Linked DNA regions of Xenopus tropicalis. The protein of the gene in region 4 interacts with the protein of the main gene of each other region in a pairwise test. Links are inferred from orthologs where the notes say so. Each region holds a gene or a part of one and is shown on either strand. Other genes may lie near its edges. The genes, in order: immt, yae1, sirt6, chd3 and serbp1.

Region 1 (6,287 bases), on a different chromosome or scaffold from region 4:
CCCAGCCCGGCCGAGACCAACCGCAAGAGCAGAGGGTGCTGCAGCAGGATGCCTGGCAGGAATACGTTCCACTAACAGGGTGCCAATTCATGGGTTACCAAGGTTACAAAGGAAAATCCAGCAGAGACACCAGCCGGCACAAAATATGATTAACCCCTCAGTTCCAACAACAGAACAGCTCTACAGTTCAGTAAAGTCTTTAAAATAGCTACATAACATGTTCTTGCTTTACCCCATTCTTTCCCTAAGGTTATTACCTGAACCCCAATTTAGGGAATATTGTGCTTAGAATGTCCTTGTAACCAACTGCATATTAGGCATTTCCCCACAGGGCATTGGGTAGCAGTTTGTACTGGTCTAGAGCAGTCAGAATCATGAAAGCAATCATATCATTGGTTGCCATGAGTTACTAGACCCGGAGCAAAAGTTAGTAAATAAATAAACTCACAAGAGTTTTTATTTGCAAGTAAAGGTCCCCATACACCATAAGATCCGCTCGCTTGGCAACATATCTTCTCCCGATATCCCCACCTACGGGTGGGTGATATTGGGAGAATCCAGGGTAATTCGATTGTTTGGCCCTGGGACCAAATGATCGAATTATAATGACAGGTATAGGCAAAGTCGGTCTGGGGACCACATCAACGAGCCGATGCAGTCCCCGATCTGACTAGATTTTCTAACCCGCCCAATCGAGATCCGGCCGATTTCGGGCCAGATATCGGTCGGGCAGGCCCGTCGGTAGCGCCCATACATGGGCTGATTAGCTACCGAATCGGTCTAAGGGACCCATATCGGCAGCTACTATCGGCCCGTGTATGGGGACCTTTAGAGTGTGTGTTTGCGGTCTGTAAATCATTATCATTAGATACTATTAGTATACTGCAGAATGTTACACTGCACATAAGATAAGTAGAACATGAATGGAAATATTTCCTTTATACACAACCAATGATCAATGGCAACCGGACAAACCCCTGTGAAGGGTACCCCATATATACAGCACAAGGAAGTGTGCAGCCACCAGATCAGGGCAGAAAGCAAACAGCCCCCTCACCCAAACAGCTCCACGTTGCACCTGTACAACTAGTGAAACAAATGTATAGTACATATTAAGGCTCATATACACATGCAATTCTGTGTGCTTAAATCTTATTTACACCGACACCTTGTACTTTGCAGCAGTTCAGCCTGCTCTGAGGAACAGCGCCCAGGGTACAGGGCCCATGGGTAAGTGAGAAGCCTTCATGCCGGCTGTACTGACGCAACCACACATGCAACCCATTTGCAAACTAGCTGATGCCCCCCTGCATTACTGGCACAAATAAAGGCACACACACAGCAATTAGGAAAAACTGGCAACACACACGGCACCACAATTTCCCAAAGTGGATGATAATCTGTCCCCTCACACAGGCTGCAGCTCACAGGACACACAGGGATACAGGCCCGGACTAGGATACAAAATAGTCCCTGGCATTACAAGTACCCAGAGGCCCAAACAGCCCCCCGGCAGCCCAATAAATAGTGACTGTCTGTGGCATCTTACAGCAGCCCCTCTGGCATTCCCAGTACACAGAGGCCCAAACAGCCCCCCCAGCCCAATAAATAGTGACTGTCTGTGGCATCTTACAGCAGCCCCTCTGGCATTCCCAGTACCCAGAGGCACAAACAGCCCCCCAGCCCAATAAATAGTGACTGTCTGTGGCACCTTACAGCCCCCCTGGCATTCCCAGTACCCAGAGGCACAAACAGCCCCCCAGCAGCCCAATAAATAGTGACTGTCTGTGGCACCTTACAGCCCCCCTGGCATTCCCAGTACCCAGAGGCACAAACAGCCCCCCCAGCCCAATAAATAGTGACTGTCTGTGGCACCTTACAGCCCCCCTGGCATTCCCAGTACCCAGAGGCACAAACAGCCCCCCCAGCCCAATAAATAGTGACTGTCTGTGGCACCTTACAGCCCCCCTGGCATTCCCAGTACCCAGAGGCACAAACAGCCCCCCAGCAGCCCAATAAATAGTGACTGTCTGTGGCACCTTACAGCAATCCATAGACTGCCATTTTGGGCCTGAGGGGAGATTTGTCACCCTTGGTTAAATCTGGGTTACTGTGGGTGACAAATCTCCCCAAAATGCTTTGCAACCAGCAGTAAAGTAAGTTGACAGTGGGAAAGCATATACAGTGCTTATTTCCTTGCCCGCGGCAGCCCAGATTTAGCCATGGGCAGAAAATCTCCCCTTGTGCCATAAGCCTTAGAGGGTACCTGCCATTTTGCTGGGGGGGGGGGATAAAAACTGCATTGTGGGTAAAAAAAGATAGCATAGTGACCTATTCATATCAACATCCAAGGGCACGGCTATCAATGGGAGCAGGGTGGCACGTTAAGTAGCATTCCTGCCCCACATTGCTGAGCATTACGTGCAGATTGGGCACTGTGTGCTTGGCATCTGAGTAACGTTCCTCTGTGCCATTGCTGTGCATCCTCCAGCAATATAGGGGAAAGTTAACTGGCTCCTGTTGATATTGCCCCCATGTCGGAGAATTTGTGGGTTCCTGCATGCTGTCAGTAAGCTGTGGAGAAGTTGTTACAATTTGTAACATCAATGTTTTAGTCCCTTCTCCCCTGCCAGGATTTCAAATGATGCAGAAAGAGAAGAACTGTTTTGCAGCTGGATTTCAGCATATAAAATGGTATTTATTCCTACTTTTTGAAGGAACAGATTACAGTGATAGGGATTTGGGGGGTTTCTGTGCTGTGTGGGGCTCTGTAACACATTTTGGCGCAGAAGCCAGAGTTCATCTTTAATATTCTGCAGACTTTATTATAAGCAAATAATTCCGATTTCCTATTTCTCTGAAATATTAGAACAGTACCTTGTATGAGATGGTAACTAAGCAGCACAGATCCATGTGAGTGGCAAAACAATCCTACTGGGTTTATTTCAGCTTTTAATTATTAAGTATGGAGATCCAAATAATGGAAATATACCTTCCCCAGGTCCCTAGTACACCTGTATAAGGATTCCTACCCTGGGCTGGGGTCAGATACAGATTAGAAAGTAGAAGGCAGAGTGCCAACGCTCTATACATCATTAGATCTGCTTCATACAACACAATGTACATATAAAGGGGCAGTTTACATTGAAATGAACTTTTAGTATGATGCAGAGAGTGCTATTCTGCAACAGTTTGCAATTGGTCTTCATTTTTAATTACTTGCAGGTTTTGATATATTTTTCTTTGTGTTCAACAGCTCCCCAATTTTACATTTTAGCAGCTGTATGGTTGCTAGGGTCCGATTTAACCTAGCAACCAGCCAGTGGTTTAAAAGGTAGATGGGAATATGAATAGAAGAGGGCCTACATAGAAAGATAAGTAATAAAAAGACACAATGGTGAAGGTGAAGCAGCGCTTTTATACAATTTATATGGAAGAATGAAAAGATGATATTTTCTCCCAATCAAAAAGCAAACCTTAACTGTCGCAAAAGGCTGTCAAGGGATGCTGGGAGTTGTGGTCCAATAACTTTAACTAAGCTCTTTGCCACTCTCTGTACTGTCCCTGGCACCAGATAGGAGCTAGGCCCTGGGGATGGGACACCAAGCAAGGTCACACCTACAGGCAAAAGACAAGTGGGGTTTATGCAGACAGGGGCGCTCTCGCAGGAGGGTACAATTAGCCACTGAGGCTAAAATAAACTTTAGGCCGTATACAGGCCGTGTGCCCCGGTGACCTAGCCCCATGCCGCCTCACAGTCCCTCGCCACTATAGCTTTCCATTCTACCTGCCAAAATATACATCGCTCATTGGCTTCACAGAACGTCCGTCAAAACAACTAACCACGTTATAGGTCTAACAGACGTCAATCTAACGCTAGCCCCGCCCGAGCAGCGTCATATATTTAACCAAGGGGTAATTGGCTAAAGTGCCAAGGACATTGGAATCTGATTGGCCGGTCAGCCTGCAGCTTGTTAAAGCGGTTGCCTGTAATTGGCTGGAGTGAAAGGAAGTCCTAGGCGCCGCTGACGGCTCCCAGCCTTGGAAGCCGGGGTCCCTTACTTCGTAAGGCTCAGTACTGCTGTTTCCCGGCCTTTAGGCGATATCCTGTCAGAATCCATCCCCGCCCATTCTCCCAACTAGAAGCTCCCTCACTGCAACACTGTGTACTCTTTCGCGCTATCCACTCACCTTGGCGAGCACCGCCGCCTGGGCCTTCCTGCACACCCGCAGCATGTTCTCCGGTGTGATGGGGAGGGCAAGCTCCGGGAGCGCTCTCAGTACGGCATGAATGGAGGCGCGGTCCGTGTAGCACCTCTAGCTCCGCCTACGTCATTCGCCGGGGTACGCCCACTATGGCATGACAGCTTGATTTTTTTTTTAATTCAACAGCTTTATTAATAACACTTCTGAGAACAAGATAGGGATTTGCGTATCCAATACGGGTCTCATGGCTGGGGCATGCTGGTACTTGTAGTTCCTAACAGGGATATCGTGTGTTGTGGTTTATCGCAGTGTTATAGAGTTTGTACCACATGACTTTTCGCACTACGTATTAATAAAGGGGACTTTCACCATGAAACTGGCTTTTGCGCAATAAAATGTGGTTAAAATAAACTTTACACTCTCTGTGCAGCTCTGTGATGGCTGAAAGCAGTGCCTGCCTGGTTACAGTCTGTGCACCGCGGGTTCTGACTCACAGCAATGTAGCAGAAGCAGCTGATACACCTAGAGAACTATCCTTTGCATAGTTTCACAAGTCACAGCTGTTTCTGTAATAACTTTGTGTAGAGTGTAAGCTCTTTTGGGCAGGGCTCTCTTCACCTCTTGTACCGGTTATTGATTGCTTTATATGTTACTCTGTATGTCTCCTTGTAGAGTGTAAGCTCTTTTGGGCAGGGCCCTCTTCACCTCTTGTATCGGTTATTGATTGCTTTATATGTTACTCTGTATGTCCCATGCATACCTCCCAACATTTGAAAAATGAAAAGAGGGACAAAAAGATTTGGTGCGCGCAGCGCGGCAATTTTTTTGACCACACCCTCTTTTGTGACCACGCCCCAATTACCACACCCCATTAAAAAAATACTCCTTTTATATAGTTAAAATGGCGGGATCAGACGCAAATGTGCTATACTCTCATACTGTACTGCCTAAGGGAAACATTATAGCAACTCCTACATATAAATACAAATATAGAGAGAAGGCAGTGAGTTATATGTGAGTTATAACTATGTACCAGTTTTGCCCCCCCATACACAGGTGCCCCCCATACACAGTGCCCCCATACACAGTAGCACAGCATGTCATGACACTCATTGTTGCACAAGCATTACAGTGTATGTATAAGGCATACATTACAGTGAGAAGTATAAGGCAATATCCTTTCAGCAATACTTTTAATAGAAAGCAAAATGTATTTTAGATATTAATGAATGCAGGGAGTTGTAGCAAACTAACATGGTTAAGCTAATTACCCTGCAGGTAGTATTATAGATGATACACTGACCACCATCAGGGTTTTGTCCTGTACCAGTAAGGAAGACTGGGGTTAAGGAAATGTTGGCCTAAAGGTTCAGGATAACTCTGGGTAGGGAGGTTATCAGAAGGAGACAGCTAAAGAGAGCTCAGCAGTGAAAGAGGTGTAGGGGGTAGCAGGTAAACAGCTTAGTGAAACTTGTACCGGGCAGGGCCGGATTTCTGTTTTGGGCGCCCCGAGGCCACCCCTGTCGGTCGTCCCCTCCCCACCCGTGCGCATGCGCGAAAGCGCCCCCAGTGCGCATGCGCGAAAGCGCGCCCTCCTGTGCGCATGCGCGAAAGCGGCCCCACCAGTGCGCATGCGCTCTTTAAAAATGCCATACGGAGCAGTGGGGAGAGGTCCCGACTGCTCCGTATGGGAGCCAAATTTAATTTTTTTTTTGCGGCGGGGCGGCATGCCGCCCCTAAACTTCTGCCGCCCTAGGCCCGGGCCTTTGTGGCCTCTCCACAAATCCGGGCCTGGTACCGGGAAGGGGGGAGGAATTGGTAGGAGTGGGAGACAGGGAGGCTTCTGTAGTGAGCTGCTACTAACATACATACTGGCAGCAGGGGAGAAGGAGCCATAAAAGAGCAGAGGGCAACAGCAATAAATCCATCCTGTCGGCTTGGAATCTCCGTTGCAGCGTTCACATCACAATCTTTCTGTGCTTCCCGGAGCAGTCTAATCATGACGTCACAGTCACAAGCGGGCAATTGAAAAGCGGGACATTTAAACAAAAATCCGGGACAGCGGGCTGAGTAATGAAAGT
Region 2 (6,326 bases), on a different chromosome or scaffold from region 4:
AGAAATTAAGCATAAGTATTCACCTTTTGTTATTAATAGTTATTTGATTTGCAGTTTCACTGTGGCAAAATTATCTTGTTAATTCACTATTGGCAAATCAGCAGTAGGAGAAGGGAAACTAGACCTGGTCTGCTGGGCAAAACAGTGGAAGTTCTGTCTTGAATGGAGCACATCCTAAAGAGGATATATTTGGGAATTCAGGCAACTTAGAAGCTAGGTCTACGAGTCGTGCAGACTTAAGATGGTATAATGGTCAAATATTTTTTCTTGAAATAGTTCTTAATATTGCAAGTTTGGAAGCTGAGTCCTCCTGCTCTGCTCTGACCATCTGACCAACATAAGTCTTTGTGGCCCAATAGCATCCACTATCCAATGATAAAGTGCAGTTAGTTTAAGATAAATCATTATATTAACTGCACAATGTGATTTATTTATTCACTTGCCATTGTGGTAAATAGTATGTTGGAAAAACTGTGACTCTTAAAAGGAGTAAGGAATATGACTTGTAATTGCAATTTAATGTCTAGTATAGCTAAACAGATATCATGCTGGTCACTATGTGGGCTCCGTCTTTCAGGGTATTGATCACCTTTGTGCTGATATAAGGGGAGATCATTTAGATTTAAAAAGTACTTCAATTAAAAACCTCATTGATTCTTAGGTAAACACGTGTAAGTTAGGGTTGACACCTGCCCGGTATTTTACCGGCCTGGCCAGTACAAATTATTCTTAAAGGAGAAGGAAAGGCTAATAAAGAGTTAATCTCAAGCTGCAGGCATACCTTCAGTTCTCTCAATAGTGCCCTTAAGTCTCCCCATATTTCACCTGTTCAGATGATCAGAAGCCTTATAGGGAAAAAAAACACTGAGCTTGGTGAAAGTTCCCATAATGCCTCACTCCTACACCAAGACCAAGAGTACATGCTCAGTTAGTAAGACTATGAGGAATCTTCCTGCTGATTGGCTAAGATCGCACATTCCTAAGGGGGGAAGGGAGTTCTTAGCATTCTTGAGGGAGGAGGGAGCAGGAGAGGGGAGAGAGGAGAGAGCTGCGTGTGTCTGGCACAGGAAAACAAAGAGACAACAAATCCTGTATCTTTTAACAGAGAACTCAGTGCAGCGTTTCTGTGAGTGCTTATGGCTGTATTTACATAGACCTTTCTGATAAAGCTTACTTAGTTTTTACCTTTCCTTCTCCTTTAATGCTAATGTTATTAATAGGGAAAATAGCTAAAAATATAGGAAGGCCAGCATCTTTTTCGAGAAAAGGTGGCAACCCTAGTGCATACCTCCCAACTGTCCCGATTTTCGCGGGACAGTCTCTCTTTTGGCAGCTCAGCCTGCAGTCCCAGATTCTTACTGAAAAGTCCCTCATTTCCCTTTGATCTTCTGCACTGAAGCTAATTTAATTAAAAGTAGCTTTTGGCAGAGACCCCACTTAGATACATTGCACTTAGATACATTGTTTCTCACATTTAATGAAATAAGTGGGCTTTTGGCAAAGAACCCAGAAAGGTAAAGAGCCCCCCCCTGCACTGAGATACAAGTGTAACTAATAAGCTAAACAGACCTCTTGGGGGAACTGAGACTTGCAACTTAAAGGACAATTTCATCTTTTCAGCAAAACTATAACACATAAAACAAAACCCCCAGAAATGTAAACAAACTATAACCTGCCAAATGGGAGTGGTATTTAGGGGGTGTGGTCGCAAAAAAACGGGCGTGGTCACAAAGTAGCTGTGCTCTGCATTTTTTTTTGTCCCGCTTTCCATTTTCAAAATGTTGGAAGGTATGCTAGTGTAAGTCTGAGCTGGGGCGGGGAGTTTTGCCATAATCTTGAGCTCATTATTGTGTTCAGCACGCAAAAGACTTTACATATAATCATAAAAGCACGAAACAACATGCTGTTAGTTATGTACATAACATTTGAACCATATAAAGTTCGCCACACATTATTTCACCCCATGTCAAGCACTAATATTACACAAGATGGCGCTGACGCACCATTAGGAAATAGAGAAATACGCTTTCCGTTGCTTTTTTTTTTTACTACACCCAAACAACCATCTTGGCTTATAAGCAATGGACATGCCTTCAGAAAATGGCGCATAAAATAGCGATCCCTATTGGTGAGGATGCGGCTGCAAATAATTTCCACTTCCGGGGTGAAGTTAGACTGATATTTTCGTCATGGGCGAGGGGCGTATTTAGCTTTTCTGCGTTAGAGCAGGGATTCTCCTCCAGTTTATGCCATGCTAGAGCTAGATACCGGCCCCTGATAGTGAAATGGCGTGGGTACGCACCGCTTTGGAAATCCAGCAGCTTGGAGGGGAGGCAGAGGTGTTTGATGAAGATGGAGACGAGATGCGCCTTTTGCAGCGAGATTGGCAGCTGTCCATGGAGAAGAGAATTAAGGTATTCGGGAGATAGTTAGACTAACATAGCGAGTTTGGGGGCCCCTTTCTAGGCATTGCCCTATTTTACTGGTAAGTGATTTCATGTGCTCCTGGTTACCTACCCCAAGGCATACATTGAGAAGCAGGTTTTCTGGGAATTACAAGGAGGTTGGTAAAAGCGGGGCTCTGTTTTACCTCAGGGCACTGCTGTGTTATGGAGCACTCGCATCGGGGTTTCAATGTTTGTCGCAGGAATTCGGCATTTCTTCTAAACACACACATGTTCTTTCTGTGTGGCCCAAATAGCTAGTCAGTAGTAGTTCAATATAGCACACTTTATTAATTATAATCAAGAGTAATGTGCTAATAAAGTTAGTCCGTTCATTGAAGGTCAGTGGAGTTTGCCCTAATTCAAGACTAACCTACCTCATTTCTCTGCCTTGTCATTGCTTTATACACAACTTTCTTACCTGCACCCAAGCTGTGATTCGGGGAAAGTAGAATAATCACTCCCATTTCAGAACTTTATCAGTCGTTACACAAGTAACTCATTATGAAGTTACTGGTTGACCAGGTTACACTAATTCGGGGATCTTTTTGTGAGCCACAGTCAAATGTAAAAAGACTTGGAGAGCAACACAAGCATCATAAAAGTTCATGAAGGTGCCAAATAAGGGCTGTAATTGGCTATTAGGCAGCCTCTATGCACACTATCAGCTTACAGGAGACTTTATTTGGTAGTAAATCTTGTTTTTACTCAACCAAAACTTGCCCCCAAGTCAGGAATTCAAAAATCACTACCTGGTTTGAGGCCTTGGGGAGCAACGTGTTGCTCACAAGGCACTTGTTGGGGATCACTGCACTAATTAGTCCCATGTCCTACCCACCTACACATTAACCCTTTCACTGCAAGCAGATTTGGTCACAACAGAACGTTTATTGCCAGACAGTTTTTGAACATTTTGCGCTCTTTCACTTTAGAGGCCTTTTCTCAGGGTGGACTTTTAGCTTACCCAGGAAAACAATATATTTTTTTCAGGGCAATCTAAGCTTTCACAATATGCTAGAATTTTTGTGTAATGCCACTTCTATAACAATATAGGCTTCTAAATATCTATATTTAAGTGTATGTGCTTGGCAGATAGAGCCTTTTACTGCCAGCACATACAGCCTACGTGCTTGGCAGTGAAAGGGTTAAAATGGCAGGGAAAAAAATGTACCGTATCCACCAGTATATTGTCTGTTGGATATGTAGGATGCAGTAGGCATGGAGTTTTAAGTTTAAATTAATTTTAGGTTACAGATGAAAACTATTTTAACTGCTTTAATTTTGTGGAATGCTTGTTTAGTTTGAATTTCTATTCTTGTATTCGTAGGAGGGCTACGTTGATGGAATAGAGGCTGGGAAAGAAAATTCTCTACAAACAGGGTTTAATTTTGGATATAAAGTTGGAGTGAACCTGCTAAAGCATTACGGAGAGCTTAAAGGGATCTTAAGGTAAGTTGTATTGTATTTTATCTTCACTTCTCCAGTTATTTCCGACAGCTTTTCAGTCACGGGAATTACAAATGTTTAATGTGTCAAAATGCTCAGGGTGCTTTTATAAGCAGTATTAATTTTTCAGTTTTAGAGCTATTTAAGTTTTTATTAACTGCCAAAATAATAAAGTTTGTAACATCACTGCCTTCTGGTTATTTCCTGCAGTTGTACAGTCAAAGAGAGCTACCTTTTTAATAAAAAAAAAAAACAAATATTGTGCTGTTGCTTTGCTTAGGAAGGAGATGGGAAAAGGCAATTGGGGCTTCTGATCGCTTTCCTGTTTCTGTTCTGAATGTAAGGTTTGTATGTCTTTGACTGTACAATTTCAAGAACTGAGGTAGCAATATTACAAAATTCATTATATTGGCAGTTAATAAAGACTTAAATAGCGCTGAAAGATTTAACATTACATATTTTTAAGAATTGTATATATTTTTGGCAGTTCAGAAGTTTCTACACTTTTGTTATATAAGCACAAAACTGAATTATCTCATGTGAAAAAAGGGGGGCTTTTTCCCCTTTAAAGGGTTTCTTGTCACGGCTACTAAACACCAGAAAATCCCCTGCCATAGAAAATAGAGAATTGCCTCTGCTAAAACACATGTAGAGACAGTTATCAGTAAATGATCAGCATTGTCTGTTTTAGTAGCTGCAACAAGTAGCCGCTACTAGTAGCTCCGTGTGTCTTCACCCTTACAGGAAGAGCAACATTTTTTTTTTTTCTCTAATTTTGATAATTGACAGCCATGTGACTTGTGCTTCGATAAACTTCAGTCACTCTTTTAATTAAGTATTTTGCAACCTACTGCTAGCTCTTCACAAATTTGTAAAATATTTTAAATCTTAAATTGTCAATGTTGATGTTTTACTTACTGCAAACGTGATAGAAGAATGAGTACAATAGGGACAATCAGCAGAAAATTGATGTCAAAAGTTTAACTAGGGTCAGCTGACAATAAAACTTGTTGTATCATCAGGAAATGCCAGTGCTTCTAGAAAATGTATCTATGTTATCATTGTCGTTTATATAATGTACTTTGTGTGCTTGTTGCAGTGCACTCCTGGCATGGTGCCAACTTCACAAGACAAAAGATGCAGCTTCTGGAAAACTACATGAGCTTCTGACTTCATTAGATCAGTGTGAGGAACAAATTGTAAAAGATCTATCTTCCTTTTATAAAGGTGCACAACCATCTGATTTGTTGCACTGTGTGGAGGACATGGCTCTAATCAGTCATGAGCATAGATGTGAACTGAATGAGCCAGGCTCCTGCGCAGGTTCCAGGAACTGTTGCACAAGTCAGGACTCTAATGGATCATCAACATTCCGTTGCATGAATACCAACTATATCAGCGATTCAACAAAAGAAGAACTTTGTAAGATTTTTAAGGAGACACTTTTGGTGGCTGAACAACTTGATATTTCAGCAGAACTTCTTTACTATATTCAAACACTCAATAACACAGAGTCACCTCTTATTCAATTAAAGTGCTAGCCACAGCCAGTGCACCATATTTTTTGTTTCTTTTTAAACATGTTACAATGTAACCAAAGTTACACAAATGACACATTTATACTTGTTAGGTTCAGAACTATCGGTCATAGAAATTATGTTTTTAGAGTCGGTTAGACTCTTTTAAATACAGTTTGATTTAGATAAAGGGACATTGATATTTAATGATTTTATATTGGTTAAAAATAACACAACTCGGTGTAAAATATACATCTCTACCATAATAGCAAGATAAAAGTAAATACATTGTTAAAAGCCCCTTTTTTTTTTTTTAGCTGCATTGTTTAGTTTTGGGTTAAACTTAACAAATAAGTGTACAAGATTAGGTCATTTTGTATTGGGGGGAAGGCAACTGACAAAGTTCAACCTCTCTAAATGATCCCCCGTGCATATTTTATTGTAGTATTTATGCAGTGCTCACACATTCACATGCACACTAGGGTCATTTTTAGCAGGAGCCAGTTAACCTGACTTTATGTTTTGAAGTGCTGGAAACCCACACAGACATGGGGAAAACATACAAACTCCTTGCATATAACCCAAGCCAGAATCAAACCAGAACTGCAAGGCAGAAGTGCTATCCACTGAGCCAACATGCAATCCCAAGGCATTACACCTGTCAAACTTGTCAAAGCCCTTCTTAAAGGTGAATGACACCTATCCCAGACCCCATCTAATGGCCCCCTCAACACCCATCTCATGTTACTCTAAAAAAGCAACATGAGATGACTTGCCAACCCAGCTGTGCAACATTTACAGGGCTAATGTGGGGGGTGCCTGGTGTTTGAGGGGTTTGTCATTAAAGTAGAACTGAACCTTAAACAAAGTAGGGCAGAAATGTTGTACATTATGTTTCGTGGTTCTTTACCAGCCCAAG
Region 3 (5,571 bases), on a different chromosome or scaffold from region 4:
GAGCATGTAGCTTTAACCACTAGTGTAGTTTTACCTTGTCTGTTATTTTGTGTAATTTTACATTCCTGTTTACCATAGTTTTGCTATGCTTACTTGCATGTTAGCCACGGACCAGTATTATGTAAACATTGCATGAATATTACATTTCCCATACATGCAGCCTGATCATGTACAACAGAATAAAAATGCTCCTACAAACCACATATAATTAAACACAGTGCCATATTCCCTGATGTCCCTGTTTCACAGACTTCAATCTTGCTTTTTCATAAATGCCAATATGCATCAAGGATACTGAAAGGCTTAATTTCTCAGTTCATTCTGCAATATAGGAAAAGAATTAGTAGAGGTGTTCTGCTAAACACCAACCTTGTCATCCCAGACAGACACAGGAGTGCTGCAATAATACAGCAGAAAATGCTAAATGTCACTAAGCAGTGTCCTGCGTTGTGCACGATGTAGCAAAAAATGCATGTACACTAATATAGTGTAACATGTTTTAACTTGGGATTTCAACATTTATAAGCAATTAAGCCAATTTATATCAGTCATTTAATACTATTTAATGTTATGTATTTATTTAAGCTGCTGCGTAACTGCATTCTTCTACCTAACTAAAAATGGTTCCCCCACCGGAAGTACAGGCTTATAGAGCCCTCAGTCCGGTTGGGGAAAGCAAGTTTCCTTTTAAAAAAACAGTCCCTGCTGACGCTAGGCCACCCACACTGGGAGGGAGCTCCCAGTGCGGACCATTAACAAAAATATTGTATAAAAGTGCAACTACTGGCATTTCTGAAGGTCACATTCAACATGCAGAAACCATTATTAAAGCAATGCTAGATTGTGGAAAACATTACAGAAACCAGTGCTATTATAAGGAAATTGGTTTTGTGTTATCTCCAGGACTAGAGAAAGAACAGATCAGGGCATTGGAAAGAATAGTGCTAATGTAACAGGTGCAATCTTAAAAATAACACATTAAAATTGGTGGAGACACAATATTGATGCTGATAGATCATTTCTTGGGCCAGTATTGGTTGATCTGTCACACCTCATACACGTAGACCAGTCGCAAGGCTACCCAACTTTAACTCATCTTAAATACGCATATTCAATTCCCTTCTCTATTGGTTTGGTTTTTAAAATCAATTAAAACACAGGTATCCATGTCATTTTAAAATGTAGCCAGTTGGGAAAGGGGAACTAATAGCTAAAATACAAACTGGCTACATCCCAAGTCATACCAGAAAGTGGAAATGTAGGAAGAGTATCTCTGTAGTAATACGGTAAGTCAAATCAACTAGACTTGCTGTGTTTTTCTAGAGGTTTCGCTAGTCATAAGAATTACATGTACAAGGATCTTTCTGGAATAAATTCCTTGAAATGTTGCTCCAATCAGCATAATCTATTAAAACTGGCATGGTGTCAGGAAGCTCATGAAGGTACGGTGTTGATTGGAAGAGTATGACTATGATAGTGGGGGTTATTGGAGGAGTATCACTAGGATAGTGGGGGTTCTCTACACCATGATTATTGCTTCAAGCTTCTGGTTTATGCTTTGCCACGGTTACACAAGTAAAGCATAGTTATGTCACTTGCACAAGTGCACAGGGAAACCGAAGCAGTGTACCTTATGCCTGCCTAAGCTCCTTGTAAATAGAAGGGTAGGACAAAAAGGTGGTTCAGGTCAGCAATGTCACTTGGCATGCATGTGAGCTAGGCAATTCATTTATTTAAACTGCGGTTTTATGAATGCAACCAGCCAGCAGTGGTATAAAAATCAATTAAATATATCTTGCTGCATCTGAGAAAGTTGTATTTTATTTCTGTTTAAAGAAATGGCTGGCAGTTCTGTAAACTGTTTTTTGTTTTTTTTTCCCTTTTTTTAAAAATAGAGGAATGTACAATATCAAGTCTTTTTATATGCATTGCTAGATATACATCCTGAAAAAGAAAACTTTAGTGAAACTGAGTGGCACATCTCTCACGGATACATTTTCTCTAATGTGTGTGCCTGTCTCAGTCAAGAAGACATGTACAAGCTAATACAGCACTGTGTGTAACATTATATAAAATAGTTTGGCTCATACATATCCAAATATGGGTATTCTTATGTCCAGCACAAAACAAAGTTAGAGCCAAGTTAAGGAATATAGCACCTTTTTTGAACTAAGAAGACCAGTATCATACACATGCTGGCTCAACTTTTGCCTTTTTTGGCTCGAGATTAGGTTCTTCCTTGCATCCTTCTCTTTTTTGGTTTGGGTTAGCACCCAGCACTGAATCATTGTAGAAATGATTTTCCTCCTTATAGTTTCCATTAGTTGGCTCTGTTTTAGTAGGCATACCAGTCCAAACTGGTATCTTGTGACCCAAAAGCTCCATGAGCTGTGTCATCACTTCATCCACATAACCGTGTATTCTCAAATCCGCGTGCTTGTCATGCTTGGTCGGCTGAAGGTTTACAATAACTAGTTTCCCACCCTTGCGCTTGGTGAGGAGTGGTAGGTTCCCACTGGGTCTAATCTGCAGTGATGTCCCCAATGTAATGGACAGGTCTGCTTTCCTGCAGGCTTCATCGGCTAGGTTTAGGTCTCTGTCAGGAAGTGAGTCTTCCCAATCCAAAATGGTGTCTTTGAGCTTCCCCCTGCAAGCTCTCAGGCCTCGCACCTTGGGCACATCACAGAGTCTCCCAGTAGGTTTGAGCCCCATGGTTCCTACAACTTGATCTCGCACGTACTGTTTGCTACATTTGCTGCATTCCTCCACGAACATGTTTCCATGTAGTTCTGCCAGCTGCTCTCTGGGGAAGCCAGATCTTACATGCAAGCCATCTACGTTTTGGCTAACCAAAAATTTCAGGATGCCAACCCTCTGCAGCTGAAGCAGCGCCATGTGGGTAGGGGAAGGACATGCAGATTCAAACGTGATGTCAAACTTTGGGTTCACACCTTTCTCCTCCAGAGTCCACACTCCATTAGGCCCCCTGAAATCTGGGATTCCGCAGGAAGTACTGATCCCGGCTCCCGTGTGAAATACTACGTAGGAGGATTTCCGAATCATATCAGCTAGTTCCACTACCTTGCGACACAGTTCGTCCGGTGGATCAAATGCCTCCGGGAGCCCACATCGTCCCTTATCGGAATAGGGAGACAAGCCAGCCGCATAATTCACCGACATGTCGCCAACAGAGCCCGAAACAGGAGTGACTCCTTTGTGATCATTAAATGGCCGGCGCAGGCAAATGACGTCAATAAAACCAGCCAGACGGTCGAATTCTTATTGTAGAGTACTGGAAAGGGAGTTTAGGCGCCGTCCCTGGTGCGTTGATTTCGAGAGTATATAATTCAGTTCAAGGCACATAATATCTAACAAGCCAGCAGCCCTCTATGGTAGAAACTATATTCTGGGTGACGAAGAAAAGCAATGGTATTTACCTCGTTGTTATGTAAAGCTTTGCGTTGGAGACTTTGCAGGTAGACCAACAGTGTGTAAGTTGTTACGAGTATTTTAAAGTGTGCACATTTATATATATTATACAGTGTTCTTCAGTCTATGACTCATTTAAACCGTGAATCATTATATATATATATATATATATATATATATATATATATATATATATATATATAGTGAGTGGAAACAACCCCCGATTTCTAGTCAGCCCTATAGCATTAGCTACTGTGACAGGCAACCTTATTTTCTGCTTGATAATTTATGACAACCCCAAAGCTCAGCTTCTCAACAGCTACCCAGAGCATGTGAGTGTCACTAACAGAAACCAAGATGGGGAGCTCCTTTGTTTTTAATTAATTGTGATCACGATTATTTATATGAGCGATGTTACTAAATAACTTTCTTTTGAGATAACTAATTTTTCCCCAATATCTTTTGGTATCTGGCAGCTCACTAAGGGGCACATTTACTAATCCACGAACGTCCGAAAAGCGTCAGAATGCGTTTTTTCGTAACGATCGGTGTTTTGCGACTTTTTCGAGTGCTCAATACGAAAGTCGCGACAATTCACGAAATTTGTATTGGCAGTGAAAAAGTCGCGACAATTCACAAAAGTCATAATGGCTATGAAAAAGTCGCGACAATTCACGAAATTTGTATTGGCAATGAAAAAGTCGCGACAATTCATGAAAGTCATAATGGCTATGAAAAAGTCGCGACAATTCACGAAATTTGTATTGGCAATGAAAAAGTCGTAACGAAAAAAAAATACGAAAAAGTCGCAAAATGTTCGTTTTCCAATCCGAATTTTTCCCATTCGGATTTGGGGATTAGTAAATCAGCCCCTAAGTGTTTTTGAATTGATTTCTTATTCACAAGCGCAGAGTGGTGATTTCTAATCTTATGGGGAGCTCTCCTGTGACAAGGCATGGATCATTACTATTATAGAGCTGTTAAACCTTTTGGCTGGTGGAGTAAGTTCCGTATACAAAATATGGCAAACCTAGCCATATTTATTTATAGGGTTTAATCCTCTTTTTGCATAGCTTGGATATGTGCCCCTGGACCCCACATCTACTTTTGTGAGCTTATGACTTTCATACAGCACACGATTCTTCTTTTTCTCCCTTTCTTTATTTTTATTTTATTTGAGGCTAACAATTATGCTTGTCAGTACTGTGCCTGAGTTCTTATTTTTCAGCTACCTCTTATTAGCCATATTTGTGCACATGTTCAGAAAGAGCCCTTGCAATCATTTATTAATTACAGAAAGTGGAAAAATGCATTACCAATCCCATAGGGCTAATGTAAATAAAGTATTTATTAATGTATTGCTAAAGCATATTGGCAAGGAGACATTAATGGTTCTGTACTTTTACCTGGCCGTTGCTCAGTCATATAGCCTAACTGTAGTGCATTGTCATTCCTATTGTGATTCCTGACACAATGCTCATTGGTGAATATTTTACTCCTTCATATGATTTCCAGCTTCAAGAATCAGCCCCATAAAAGTGATTATAGACTTGCTGTCTCAGATAAGCATTGTTGATAAAGCAATAGTGGGCTTATTTATTTAAGTGTGAAATTTGATCTTTTCACAGAAAAATTCACCCACTCGCTGTGTGTTTCTTGGTGTGAGGTTTAGGTTGCATAAAATATTGAAATAGGGTTACTTATCATGAGACAATCATTCTTTGTCTCATTTGAACAAAATAAAGTACTTGAGACCTGGGCACAACAGAAAGACAAGCCAGGAAGTGACAAATTATTTGGGGGCAGTAAATGTCTGGGGCTCCTGAGGCACGCCCACTGCTTACTGGAAACTGCAAATTATTGTGGTTGGGGGTCTGGGCAAGCAGGGTCAACTAAAATTGGGGCCTAAGGGGGGTGCCTTGCTTGCCTTGCCCTTGAGCTGGTCCTGATGCATACATCATATGGGGTAGCGAAAGAACTAAGAAGACAAATGCAAACATAATTTAGTCAATAAATCCATGCAGTGGACTTGTGTTGCAAGAACTCTGACTAAAATACACATGCTGTGTGCTGAAAGGGAAAAGGACAGAAGGTTCCATCTCAGTGAGTGAGCTAGTAGGTGTTGGTGTGGTGCCTGGGCCT
Region 4 (5,713 bases):
AAGTACAGGTACTGTTTTATTATTACAGAGAAAAGGGAATCATTTAACCATTAAATAAACCCAATAGGGCTGTTCTGCCCCAATAAGGGGTAATTATATCTTAGTTGGGATCAAGTACAGGTACTGTTTTATTATTACAGAGAAAAGGGAATCATTTAACCATTAAATAAACCCAATAGGGCTGTTCTGCCCCAATAAGGGGTAATTATATCTTAGTTGGGATCAAGTACAGGTACTGTTTTATTATTACAGAGAAAAGGGAATCGTTTCACCATGAAATAAACCCAATAGGGCTGTTCTGCCCCCAATAAGGGGTAATTATATCTTAGTTGGGATCAAGTACAGGTACTGTTTTATTATTAGAGAGAAAACAGAAATCATTTTTTAAAAAAATGTGAATTATTTGCTTATAATGGAGTCTATGAGAGATCGCCTTTCCGTAATCAGGCTGATCCAGGGGATCTTCTCCTCTATACTCTGCCCTAATTAGCTGCCTTTGCAGGACCAAACATGGAGTAGCTTCAGTCTCCCTGTTTAGTTCAAGGAATTACAAAATCCATAGATTGTGTTTAAAACAGGCAAAACGTTTTGCTGCCCCTTTAACATACCTTGGACTGGTTATTTTTCAATCGGTGAGCCTCATCTACCACCAGGCAGGCCCATCGAATGGATCCCAGAGCAGCCTGGTCAATTGTGACCAGTTCATAAGAGGTGAGGAGAACGTGGAACTTCACCTGGGCCTGCGCCTAGAAAAGTGAAAATATAAGGGTAAAGACACACGGAGCAACTTAGTAGCAGCTACTAAACACCAGAAAATCCCCTGCCATAGACTACTGAGAATAGCCTCTGCTAAACACACGCAGAGACAATTATCAGTAAATAATCAGGATTGTCTATTTTAGTATGAAAACGATATATAGCTCTGACTGTCCTTCCATCCAGTTCACCCACCTTCATCTTAAAGGCTTTCTTCCCCCCTTTCATGACGTTATCCTGATAGGAAAACTCATTCTCTCGGATGACGGATCTGCTGTCTTTATCGCCGGTGTACGTCACCACGTAGAAGTCGGGGGCCCACATCTGGAACTCGCGTTCCCAGTTAATGATGGTGGAAAGAGGGGCGCTGACAAGGAAGGGGCCCTGCGTGTGTCCCTACAGAAGAGAAAGAACCAAATTATCAGAGCTTCTCCAATCAAATATGCTATGAAAAGGGTGTCTGTTATTGGTCAGTCCGTTATTGGGGGCACCACTGACGGGCCTACCCGACAGATATCTGGCTTAAAATTGGCAAATCTCGATCGTGTAGGTTTAATTTTCTGTCGGATTTTGGACCGCATCGGCTCATTGATGCGGTTTCTGATCCGACCTCGCCAAACCCGCATTTCTTCCCATGCCCACCTTTATACCAGGGCCGACAACTCGGGCCCGGCCATGCTACAGTTTTCTGACTGGCTCGGGCCCCCTTTAATCGATTACGGCCGGGCCCTGTCATCCGATTGGTCGCGCCCCGTGCATACATGTGAAGAATCAGCAGCAGCAGAAGTCGACGATGACGACTTCGGGAGGCACTGTCTATGGGGGGCACTGTGTATGGGGGCACTGTATGAGGCACTTGGTGGCACTGTCTAAGGGGGGCAATTGGGGGCACTGTGTATGGGGGGCCCTGGCCAGCCTAGCATTAGGGGGCACTGTGGTAGGGAGGCCCTAATACATTTTAGGTCTGTGTCCTTTGCACTAATGGGAGGGGCCCTGGGGGAGGGGGGGCAGAAAATTTTGTTGAGGGGGCCCCATGATTTCTGATCGCAGCCCTGCTTTACACTATAGGACTGTAGTGAAAATGCATAGGGAAAGTTTCAGCCATATAGTCTTAGAACAATGGCGTACAAGACTGAAATTCCCATCTTATTCTCAAATTCCTTTCATTCTCTCCATTTTTTTCTCTAACCTCTTTATACAAGGAGTACAGAAAAACAATGGTTTGTATCGTCTTTCCAAGTCCCATCTCATCCGCCAGGATGGTGTCGGTTCCTTGGGCCCAAGAGAATCGCAGCCAGTTGAGTCCCTCCAGCTGATACATATGCAGTGTGCCGCCCGTGCTCGATACAAACTGGGGTTGGGTATCATACTTCACTGTAGGCTGCAAGGGAAACATACACAAGCGGATACTTTATCCCACAGATTAACCATGGTGTGAACTAGAGTCCTGAGTAGAACCAATTTTGAAACCCAAACCCACAACTCGCATTTCTACCCGCTTGGACCCACTACCCGACCCCCAACTTCCTTATCAGCAAACTGATCCCCTGACCACCATTAAAACAGGAAGTGCTGTTGCTGCAAACTGGAAGTGATGTCATCACTTCATCAGTGGACGGGGGGGGGGGGGTGAAAAAAAAAAACGTTTAGAAAGAGTAAAATATACATAAGAGAAATAGAGATAAAATAAGATAACATAAGAAATATAGATAGACCCGTGACCTGTCCCATTCGGAAATCCTACCCATAATCTGCAGGATACCTGTTTTCATTGGGTCATTGCTGCAGGACAAATACACGTGGCACTACCTGTCTACTAGTGATGTGCAGGATGAGAAAAACTTGACCCCCCCCCCACTCGATCCTAACCCTCCAGCAATTTTAGGTTGTGGGCAGGGAGAGTGAGTGGAAGAGCTCAACCTGAACCTACCCACGACCCGCAAGTGATGTGCTGAGGTTGGCCCGAACTGACCTGACCTATTGGTATTTGGCCGGGCCGCACATCACTACTGTCTACCCCCTTACACACTACTACTATTATGCCCGAGGGTTGGGTGGGTTCGGGCCAACCTTTGCACAACATTTTCTAGATCCAGGTGGGTACGAGTCGAGCTTTTCTGCTTGATCTTCCCACCCGAAACTTTACACTAGCGGCGTGAGCGTGCCACACCCCTTTTGTGACATCATCAGTGGGTGGGGCTGGCGCCGGTCCAGTTTTACTCTACCCACGCATCGCTACATGACAGATACAAAGACCATAGACACAGAGCAGGCTTACCCACCTATATACTACAATACCATGATACGTGTGGACAACACTTACGTCATTTATAGGAGAGCTGGGGACCCCGTGTAAATAGGATTCCTTATGTTGTCTCTTGTATTTCTGAGGGCAGCAGGCACTATCTCCCATCATCAGTTGCCTGAAAGAAAGAATTGGAAGGATGATTGCCAGTTTATCACCACCAAAAAAAGGAGGTAATGTGTGGCTCACAGGTATACTTGACTATATACAGGTATAGCTTTACTACCATTGCTGGTTGTACAATGAGCGGCCATTATAAAGGGGATCTAACCTAAAACATTAATTGATGCAGACTTAATCAGATGGTTCCCCTGAGCACTTTGGCAATTTATAGTAGTTTTCTCTTTTTCTGATATATTTGCAGTTTTAGACCACTAACACCAGGCTTTTACTCTTTTTAAAGGTTAAAGTTTCAGCGACCCTTCTAGTGATGTGTGGGTGAACATTTTGTGGACCCACACCCGACCTGCTGCCTCCCAACCCGATTCCAACCTGACCTGGCAATGTACCTCTATTCATAGACCCACGCCAGACACGCCCATTTCTGATGTCACAAAAGGGACTGGGCGGGGCAGGCGCACACCTATAAATAGAGGCTTCCAGGTCCAGAAGATGGGCAGTGTAATGTCACAGATGGGGCGGGCAGAAGCAAGAGGACAGCCCAGACCCATCCACGACCCAACAATATGGTGCGAGTGCTGATATTAATAGTTTAAAACTGCTAATATTTCAGAAACCACTATGAAGAAAAAATTAATGTAAATTGCAAATTATTGTAAACTGTTTCGATCATTTCATTTCTTGGGTTTAGATCCCAAGCGCAGTAATAGCCGAGAGGAGGAAGGTGCCTGGTAATCCGTGAGGATGAAAGAGAGCCCCCCAGCAAACAGACTTTACCTAAACCATCAAGCTGTACCAACAGTTAGGGCCCTCCCAGAAATGATATAATGCTGCCCCTTTACTTCTAGGAGACATACAAGCGGAAGATTCCGGCACTGCCATTTCTACCTGTGGCTTTCAATGGTACCTGTGCCTCCAGTACAACGGCTTGTGGTATTCATAGTCTGGCAGCTTCATGGCATCCTCCTCCCACGTGGACTGATCATAGGACAGGTCTCGCCATTTCACAAGGTAGTGATAGTTCCCTCGCTTATCCAGACTGAGGAGAGAATGTTGGGAAGCATAAATGGTGCACAGACTCGGCAAGTACCAATTACATACAGATTAAATCAAATTAGGAGCCATCCGCAGCATATGGTCTCCACAACCTGAAACAGTGATTGGTTGATGTGATGCTCCTCCCTCCATCTATTAGTTGAATAAGTTCCTATCAGATACTGATCTATCTACTATCTTGTCCCCATACAGCAGTGCCTGGGTATAGTCACCTTTAATAAAAATGCCTTGTTTAATAATCCTTTACACATCTACAGGCAGGGAGGTGCCCATCTATGACCATATGGAGTCTCTGGTACCATTTTCTATCAACAGAATTCTGGCAACCCAAGAATGAACTAATTTGTAGCCGTAAATTCAGTGATCGATTGGCCGCAGTAAATTGGGGTTTTGTAATAAAATGTACTACGTTTGCCCAGGAGCAGTAACCTATGGCAAACCAATCAGCAGGCAGAATTTTCTGGTTATCTGTTTAAAAGCAAACATCTTACTGATTGCTATGGGTTACTGCTCCTGGGCAAACTTACGGGGTTATGTAATAAAAGACACTAAGCTTGCCCAGGTGCAGTAACCCATAGCATCCAATTAGCAGGTAGAATTTAAAAGTCACCTGTCTAAAAGCAATCATCTTATTGGTTGATATGGGTTACTGCTCCTGGGCAAACTTAGTGCCTTTTTATTACATTTGGGGGTTAGTGTCTAATGAAATATGGGGGGGGGGGGGGAGATCAAACCCATGGTTTAAGGCAGGGATCCTCAAACTACGGCCCGTGGGCCAGATCCAGCCCCCCAAGGTAATTTACCCGGGCCAGATGTGTCCCCACTCCTGGCTACTACCTGTCTGCAGACGCAGCTGGGAGCAGGGAGCCGGAGAACGCAGCGGGGTAACAGGGAGCTGAAGGGCACAGCAGGGGAAAAATGGAGCCGGGGGGGCGCAGCGGGGAGCAGGGAGCCGGAGGGCGCAGCGGGGGAGCAGGGGGCACAGTGGAGAGAAGAGAGCCGGGGGGCACAGCGGAGAGAAGAGAGCCGGAGGGTACATTTGGGAGCGGGGGAACAGGGAGCGAGGGTATGCAGCAGGGAGGGGGGCGTAGTTTGAGGTTTTGAGGCATAGTTTGCGGACGCGGGGGGGGGGGGGATATTCGGAGGACTACAGTCCAGCCCCCCAACAATCTGAGGGACCATAAACTGGCCCCATGTTTAAAAAGTTTGAGGACCCCTGGTTTAAGGTTTAGCCTGTTTTCATGAGTGTTCCGTTTTGGGCAGGACTACATGCTTCTTACCAATAACACCTTTTGGTAGGTACCTTGATGGTGGCCAGAGAGGTATTAACAAATAAAATGGCTGCTTTCTCTACATGACACGTATAAGGATAAGACCATTGGGCCAGCCTTCAGACCTGTGGTTGATGATTCTCTGGATAGACATCCACTCAGGCTTTATGCCGTAACGGTAGAATCTTTCCTCTAAGTCGGAGTA
Region 5 (6,360 bases), on a different chromosome or scaffold from region 4:
ATGTATTAGACTGTTGGTAAAGTTAGGCTACATGAAACAATAAAGTTCAAACAAAATACTAATGACTTAATTTGAGCTGACCCACAAATGTTAACCAGGTCTACAACTAAAATGGTTTCCTTGGAATGAAGAGAATATGCAGCCAGTAATGACTGACAGCACACCTTGCCCTGAGAATAGAATCTGTGCTGCACTACTGCTACTGGAGAGAGCCCCCTACCACAACAGCTGCTGTAACCAGTTAAGGCCATACAAGGATTAACTATCTGACTCTTGCCAGTTATAACCCTTAAAACACAGTTTTTAGTGTTACCTCCCATAAAAGCTATTTAAAAGGATTGCTAAACCAGTTAATAGGCGTGGTTACAAAAGGCTGCTGACTGCACAAAGAACACATTACTTTGTACCTCCTCCACCCCAGTAAAAAACTGATAATATTTCTGTTTAACCCTATACCTGTTAATGATATAGTTAGTTAAAATTAGGAGTTCAAAACAAGGACCTTTTCAGGTTAAATGTCAGAATTGTGTGCTTATAGGCAATGCATGATCTTATCAGCTTACACACTGACAGGAAAAAAGTTAAAGTATAATTTGAGGCAAGCAATGAAGGCCCATGTGATTAAAATACTAGCATACTACAGAGTTTCCTTGTATATTAGTCCTATTTAATTTAGACCTCCACTCTCTGTACATAGCTCTGTGTTTACACTATTTGCTTAATTTAGCTGCAACTAAGAGCATACTGCAACAACTACTCAGATAATTGAATGCAAGATTTTTGAGCTTTTCTCATTTGCAGATCTGCCTTGACGGGACTGGTATAATTAAATACATTATAGCTACATAACAAAAGTGTCTTGTTATTACTCTAGTGCAAGCATTTATGCAGCAATGAAAATGTCTACGTATTATGAACTACTATTCTAACTTACATGCACATACCAATCACTGGTCACTGAAGATGGCTTGAGCACATGAACACCAGCATGAGAACATGTGATGCCATATGTATATGGGTGGGGGGAATTAAAATGAGTTTTCATACAACTAAGAAAAGGTAAGCTCATACAGAATTATAGTTGTCATGACCTTGAACTATTGGATTACCATTTAACTATACATATCTGCTACAAAGTGCCCAGACCTGGGAAGGGCCACACTGACACAATTAACATATCTACATAATTAGCACGATACCCTTTTAATAATTAGATTTTGGAAAAGACTTCACTTTATGAAAATGATTAATGTATACAAATCACATTTGTTGTCTGTTTGTGTAACTGCAAGTATTTATACTACGTTTCATACATAGCAAACAAAGTAGTTTACTATATTGTCCATTTAAAACTTTTTTTTTTAAAGGGGCAGTAAAACTCTAGTTCAGTACAAGCACTATTCATTAAATTCATATTGCACATATGTTGTACATGTTGCATTTATAATGAAAAATCTATGGTTTTTGTTCTTAAGCTAAACAGGGAAACCGAGGCTACTGTATGTTTGGACCTTGCGAGATAGATAATTAGATTAAAGTAAATAACCCTCTTCCCTTTATCCTCAGTTGAGATTTTCATTAACAATAACCCATTACACATGGAGCTTATAAGGGCACTGTTAATTAATATTCTACCTCACAAGGACCAAAGATGGAGTAACTTCAATTTCCCAGTTCAGCTCAAGAAATAAAAATAACAGATTTATGGCGATTAAAACAATAGGCAAAAAGTATGTTCACCACAAGCCCTTTAAACCTGGTGTCCCCAAATGTTAACTACAACTTCCAGCATGCTTATATCTGTGACTATTAGGTTAGTTTTAAATGCTGGAAGTTGTTGCCCAGCAACATAAAAGGTAGGAAGGCTTATATATTTAGTCATATATATTTAGTTCTCGTAAGATGCTAAAACATTTAAACGTTTTGGAATATTCCTAACAGCTCTCCTATATTAAGAAATATACTGTGAAACTTAGTGAGAAATAAGAAGGTAGATGTAACAAACAGAATACACTGCACAAACAGATGATCTAACTGTTACACCAGAACACTAAAAGACAGCAATGATGTGTGGTGAAATTGGCCACACATTAAGGGCTGATGGGGTGGTTTCTCCACAGCCTTATTTCAGCTAGCTAAAAAGTGCCCCAAACAACACCTGCTGCCCCCATTCCCTTATAGGAAAAACACCTGGTCAATGTAAAGAATCGGGGGCTGTTTCAGGCGCTACTCTACTACTGAAATACACCCAGTATAGAAAAGGGCTTTACACTTAATAAAACTTGGGTAAATTATGGAAATGTTTAGAAAAATGACATTGCCCTGAACATTGCAAGAGCAGAGCTTCACATTATTAGTTTTTAGGTCAAGTGCTTGAACATTTCCCATCAGTCTGTTGACATTAGTATTAAAATAAAAGCTAAGATGCCTTCCAAAACGCTTTAGGGTTAGGAGTCTGATACGGCGTGTTTTTTATGGCACAAAGTACTTTTATAACACGTCTTTAGCGGCTGTGATTGACACTAGTAATACCTGGACTAGTTGCTGTAGCTCTCATGAACCACATGGAAAACTGATATTTTATCTAGGGCCCCCCCATAGTAAAATCTGGCGTATGCACATTAAAGAGCACAAGCCAACCCAAACCAATGTTGCAAACTTTTATTCTTTGTAGTTGTACTGGGAAGAAAAAGGCAACAACCCTCCAGTAATAGTAGGGCTCAGAGTGGTGAGGCCTGCAGGAAGCGCCCAACCCATAGCAGTACACACACATTTCAGTGATAGGCCCACGTGTTTGGTAAGTATGGCTAGGGCCTAGTGTTGTGACAACCGCCCCCCTCCCCCCTCACACCACGTGCTCCCTAGCGCTCTCCCGCCACAAGCCTGGGCTAAGGGAAGCAGCTCCATGTGCGAGGCCCTAACGGTAACACTTCAGTGACAGCTCTGCTTGACCTTGGAGGGCAATTCGATTCTTAACGCTCCCCTCCCCCCCCTCCCGTCTAATGTGCCATGAGCCCGTCTGACAAAAAGAAGTTAACAATACGGCGATAACCGAGGTGCAAGCGCCTGGTTCAGCCAACTGCCGCTATAAACGCGTAATTTACAGTTCGACAGGAAAAGTATACACTGCGAATGTGTGCTATATGGCACCTTTCGAGTTCAACTCTTAACTCGTAGAACCTGGGGTAGTACTTTATAGGCTATAAGTGCATGCATGGAAATGAAATATAAAATAATTCGAAACTCAGTAGTGGAACGTCCCTGCGCTGAAGCTTACACAGCTCGCCACTTGTCGTTGGATTAAACTACCTAATCACCCCCGGGGCCTACTGTCACTCCCTCAGTGCTAGTCCTATGGCGCGTTACCTTCCTTCTTGATTGGTACAGGCGCCTGGCTCTTCTCCTCCTTTTCGGACAGAGGGTTCTTCCGGTCTTTCTGGGACTCCTTCTTGGGCTGTTTGGCGGCCTGAGCTGCCGTTTTGCCGGTCCCTTGACCCGGTCCCCCTGCGCCCTCCTTCTTCTTGTTCTCGGCCGCCTTCAACACCTCGAAGGGGTCAGATTCATCGTCAAATAGCTGGTCGAACCGATTGGTTACGACGCAGCCGAAGCCTTCCTGCAAGTGACCGGGCATGATGGCCCCTTAAGAGGTGGATGTTCCTCCGATTCTACGAGGCCTGGAGCCTAGAGCTCGCTTGCTAGTAAGCCAAAAGATGGCTGGGAAAGAGGCTGTCTTCTCTTCCGGCGCGATAGACATCCGGGACTTCTCCGGCTGCGGCATGATGGGACTTGTATGCCAACTGTCGTGCGTGTGCATGTTACATAGTGGCGCTAGGAACTACCATTCCCAGCATGCCATTCACCGGCATTGTGCGGGCCCCATCTATGTTTTCATGCGTGCTGCCTGTCAGTTGTAGATAGATAGAGACAAACAGACGAAGTGAGGGAGGTGCTTGGTTTGGGTAGCTGTAATTTACCGCCTCAGTATTCCGTATTAGAATAGTTTTTTTAAAAAAATAATTGCCCCCATAAGGAAACATGCTCCCTTAGTTGTATTGTTATGAAGCTGTAGCCAGGGGATTGTGGGAGTTGTAGTTCAATAATTTGGAAGCTAAATGCTGATGAAAATCTTCAGCATAGAGTTACAGAAATAGGCGTTTTCGCATATAGTAGCTAATGGGAATGAAAAATAAAGGTTTTAATTAAAAAAAAAAGGAGTCTCTGAATGAAACAATGTGTTGCCATATTTTTCTGTATGAATATTTTTTCCGTTAAAACAAAACCTCTACATTTTGTTTTGCAGACAATTAGTGCATCCCTATTATTAAGATGTATTTGTAAAGTGCTAACATTTTATGTAGTGCTGTACAACAGATGGGTGTATTTTACTGGTCTGGTCAGAAAAACTATGTTTACTGCCAACGTTATTATTAGGTTAAAGACAAAAATATAGGAAGGCCAGTTTTTTTTCCAGAAAAGTGGAAACCCTAGTATATATTTGTGTTGTTGCCTTCCTGGTATTTTACTGGCCTAGTTGGCAAAAAAAAGAACATTTCCTATAACGTCAACCCAAATCGCAGGACACTGGGGAAATATTGGGGGCATGGCTTGCTGGGGGACTGTGATAATGCCACTGTGCATACACAGAGGGTAGGTCTGCTCACATGAAAATTGGGCAGGAAAAGACAGCAGTGAGGCTGTGGAATGCTCTTCTGAGTGATATTGTAATGGCAGATTGGTTTGGATGATTTCTTGAACAAGCGTAATATCCAAGGCTATTGTGATACTAAAATCTACAATTAGTATTGATGTTGGTATATATGGTTTATGTATGTGAGTGTATAGATAGGTCAGTATAGGTTGTGTGTGCTGGGTTTACTTCGAAGGGTTGAACTTCATGGACTTTGGTCTTTTTTCAACCCTGTGCAACTATGTAACTATATAGTGCGCTTGTTGTTTGAGTACGCCCAGAATGTGAACTACAGTTACTTACTCCAGATTCTGCTATTCCTGAATAAAAACTAGGGACATCATTTTCTTAAGAAGGTGATTCCTGGTCCTCCCTTACTTCTTAATTTAGCATGTTGCTAAAATAGATGAATTGTCTATTTTTGGTGTCACCGCTGTTTCTTTTATCTTGGGCCCAAAGGCTTTCAGAGCTTGAAACACTGCCCTGACTTCCAACACATTTGACTGTGTGTTCTCTCAAGGACTCTGCCAGGAGCCACACTGTCTCCCAGGAAAACTCCCCACCCCAAGGAAGAAATATACGCTGCTAGAACTTTAAATTTGATTGAAAAGAGGGGAAACCCTTAGATATGTTTGAAGTGGCTAGCCACCACTGAAGACTGACTTCGAGGAAAGATTGGCTTTGGGAGGAAGTTGAATGTCAGGAGGACTCCATTGAAGTCAGGCATTGCTTAGTTTTACTTCCCCTGAGGACCGAGAACTGACTGATGCCCCAAAGGGAATTGTTTGGAGGTATTGCTAAATAAATATCTCAAGCTGTTTGAGGATCTTTTGTCCAACCTAAGCCTTAAAAAAAGAAAACATTTAAAGGGTTGATCCCAGGAGAACTCACCACTCCAGGGAAGAAGTATTGATTAATATACCTTTCCAATCGGTTGGAGCAAGGGGAAGTGTCAAGCCACCACACAGATTCAATTTGAGCTGGGAGGAAAGTCAAAGGACTGACCACTGCTCCAAAAGAATTGTCTAGAGGTATCTCTAAAAATGTTGGCGGGATCTATTACCTGACCTAAGCTTTGAAGAAAAAAACCTTTAAAAAGTTGATTCCTCACCATTTTATTCTCTGAAGGAAGGTAACAACTCATTCCTACCATTGCGTTAAAAATGATTTGCATAGACTTAGTTTAGTGGTAGTATCCATGCCCCAAGCTCTAAGCCAAAGTGCTCTTTTGGAAGAGACAAACAGAGCAATAAAGCTTTAAGCTTAACCTTTAAGTCAGTTAAGTCAACTGCTGCTTTGGACCAGGCCTGAACTGTGTAGATTATGGCAAATGCCAGAGGGCGTGCTAAATGATGCCATAGACAGTAACTATTGTGGGGAGCTGTTTTGGTATCTGTGAAATGCCAGGACTTATTTTTAATCTGTGCTAAGACCTGCTTCAGATTCGCCATAAAGAACAGGTCAAGCTGAAAAACAAAAACCCCATTAACACACTAAAAGAAAAGAATATAGATACATTAAGACCTTTATAGTAGTAGACCTTTATAGCCTGTCTGTTGAAGCTCTACTTGATTAGGCTTTAGACATTAGACATGATTAACCCTCAGCCATGGCAACATTTTTCAAGTGTTGGATTAATAGGTAAAAGTTGCCCTCCAATGGTAACTGGAGAG

The links.
Region 1: the proteins of chd3 (region 4) and immt interact in a two-hybrid assay, tested with the Homo sapiens proteins (2 studies listed by BioGRID and IntAct). The link is inferred for Xenopus tropicalis from reciprocal best matches to the Homo sapiens genes CHD3 and IMMT.
Region 2: the proteins of chd3 (region 4) and yae1 interact in a two-hybrid assay, tested with the Homo sapiens proteins (2 studies listed by BioGRID and IntAct). The link is inferred for Xenopus tropicalis from reciprocal best matches to the Homo sapiens genes CHD3 and YAE1.
Region 3: the proteins of chd3 (region 4) and sirt6 interact in a two-hybrid assay, tested with the Homo sapiens proteins (2 studies listed by BioGRID and IntAct). The link is inferred for Xenopus tropicalis from reciprocal best matches to the Homo sapiens genes CHD3 and SIRT6.
Region 5: the proteins of chd3 (region 4) and serbp1 interact in binary tests that used the Homo sapiens proteins (3 or more experiments, as listed by UniProt). The link is inferred for Xenopus tropicalis from reciprocal best matches to the Homo sapiens genes CHD3 and SERBP1.

The regions. Positions count from the first base shown.
Region 1 is NC_030677.2:17,821,195-17,827,481, forward strand, and holds the start of immt (MICOS complex subunit MIC60), read right to left. Parts: upstream 4,365-6,287; 5' UTR 4,237-4,364; coding exon 4,192-4,236; intron 1-4,191. UniProt on the Homo sapiens protein: Component of the MICOS complex, a large protein complex of the mitochondrial inner membrane that plays crucial roles in the maintenance of crista junctions, inner membrane architecture, and formation of contact sites to the outer membrane.
Region 2 is NC_030682.2:64,475,959-64,482,284, forward strand, and holds yae1 (protein YAE1 homolog), read left to right. Parts: upstream 1-2,148; 5' UTR 2,149-2,285; coding exon 2,286-2,414; intron 2,415-3,771; coding exon 3,772-3,893; intron 3,894-4,989; coding exon 4,990-5,431; 3' UTR 5,432-5,915; downstream 5,916-6,326. UniProt on the Homo sapiens protein: The complex LTO1:YAE1 functions as a target specific adapter that probably recruits apo-ABCE1 to the cytosolic iron-sulfur protein assembly (CIA) complex machinery. May be required for biogenesis of the large ribosomal subunit and initiation of translation.
Region 3 is NC_030682.2:40,097,949-40,103,519, forward strand, and holds sirt6 (NAD-dependent protein deacetylase sirtuin-6), read right to left. Parts: upstream 3,187-5,571; 5' UTR 3,181-3,186; coding exon 2,185-3,180; 3' UTR 1,802-2,184; downstream 1-1,801. UniProt on the Homo sapiens protein: NAD-dependent protein deacetylase, deacylase and mono-ADP-ribosyltransferase that plays an essential role in DNA damage repair, telomere maintenance, metabolic homeostasis, inflammation, tumorigenesis and aging.
Region 4 is NC_030679.2:146,917,164-146,922,876, forward strand, and holds part of chd3 (chromodomain-helicase-DNA-binding protein 3), read right to left. Parts: coding exon 5,634-5,713; intron 4,221-5,633; coding exon 4,089-4,220; intron 3,180-4,088; coding exon 3,080-3,179; intron 2,138-3,079; coding exon 1,946-2,137; intron 1,153-1,945; coding exon 952-1,152; intron 747-951; coding exon 609-746; intron 1-608.
Region 5 is NC_030680.2:83,565,601-83,571,960, reverse strand, and holds the start of serbp1 (plasminogen activator inhibitor 1 RNA-binding protein), read right to left. Parts: upstream 3,760-6,360; 5' UTR 3,632-3,759; coding exon 3,367-3,631; intron 1-3,366. UniProt on the Homo sapiens protein: Ribosome-binding protein that promotes ribosome hibernation, a process during which ribosomes are stabilized in an inactive state and preserved from proteasomal degradation.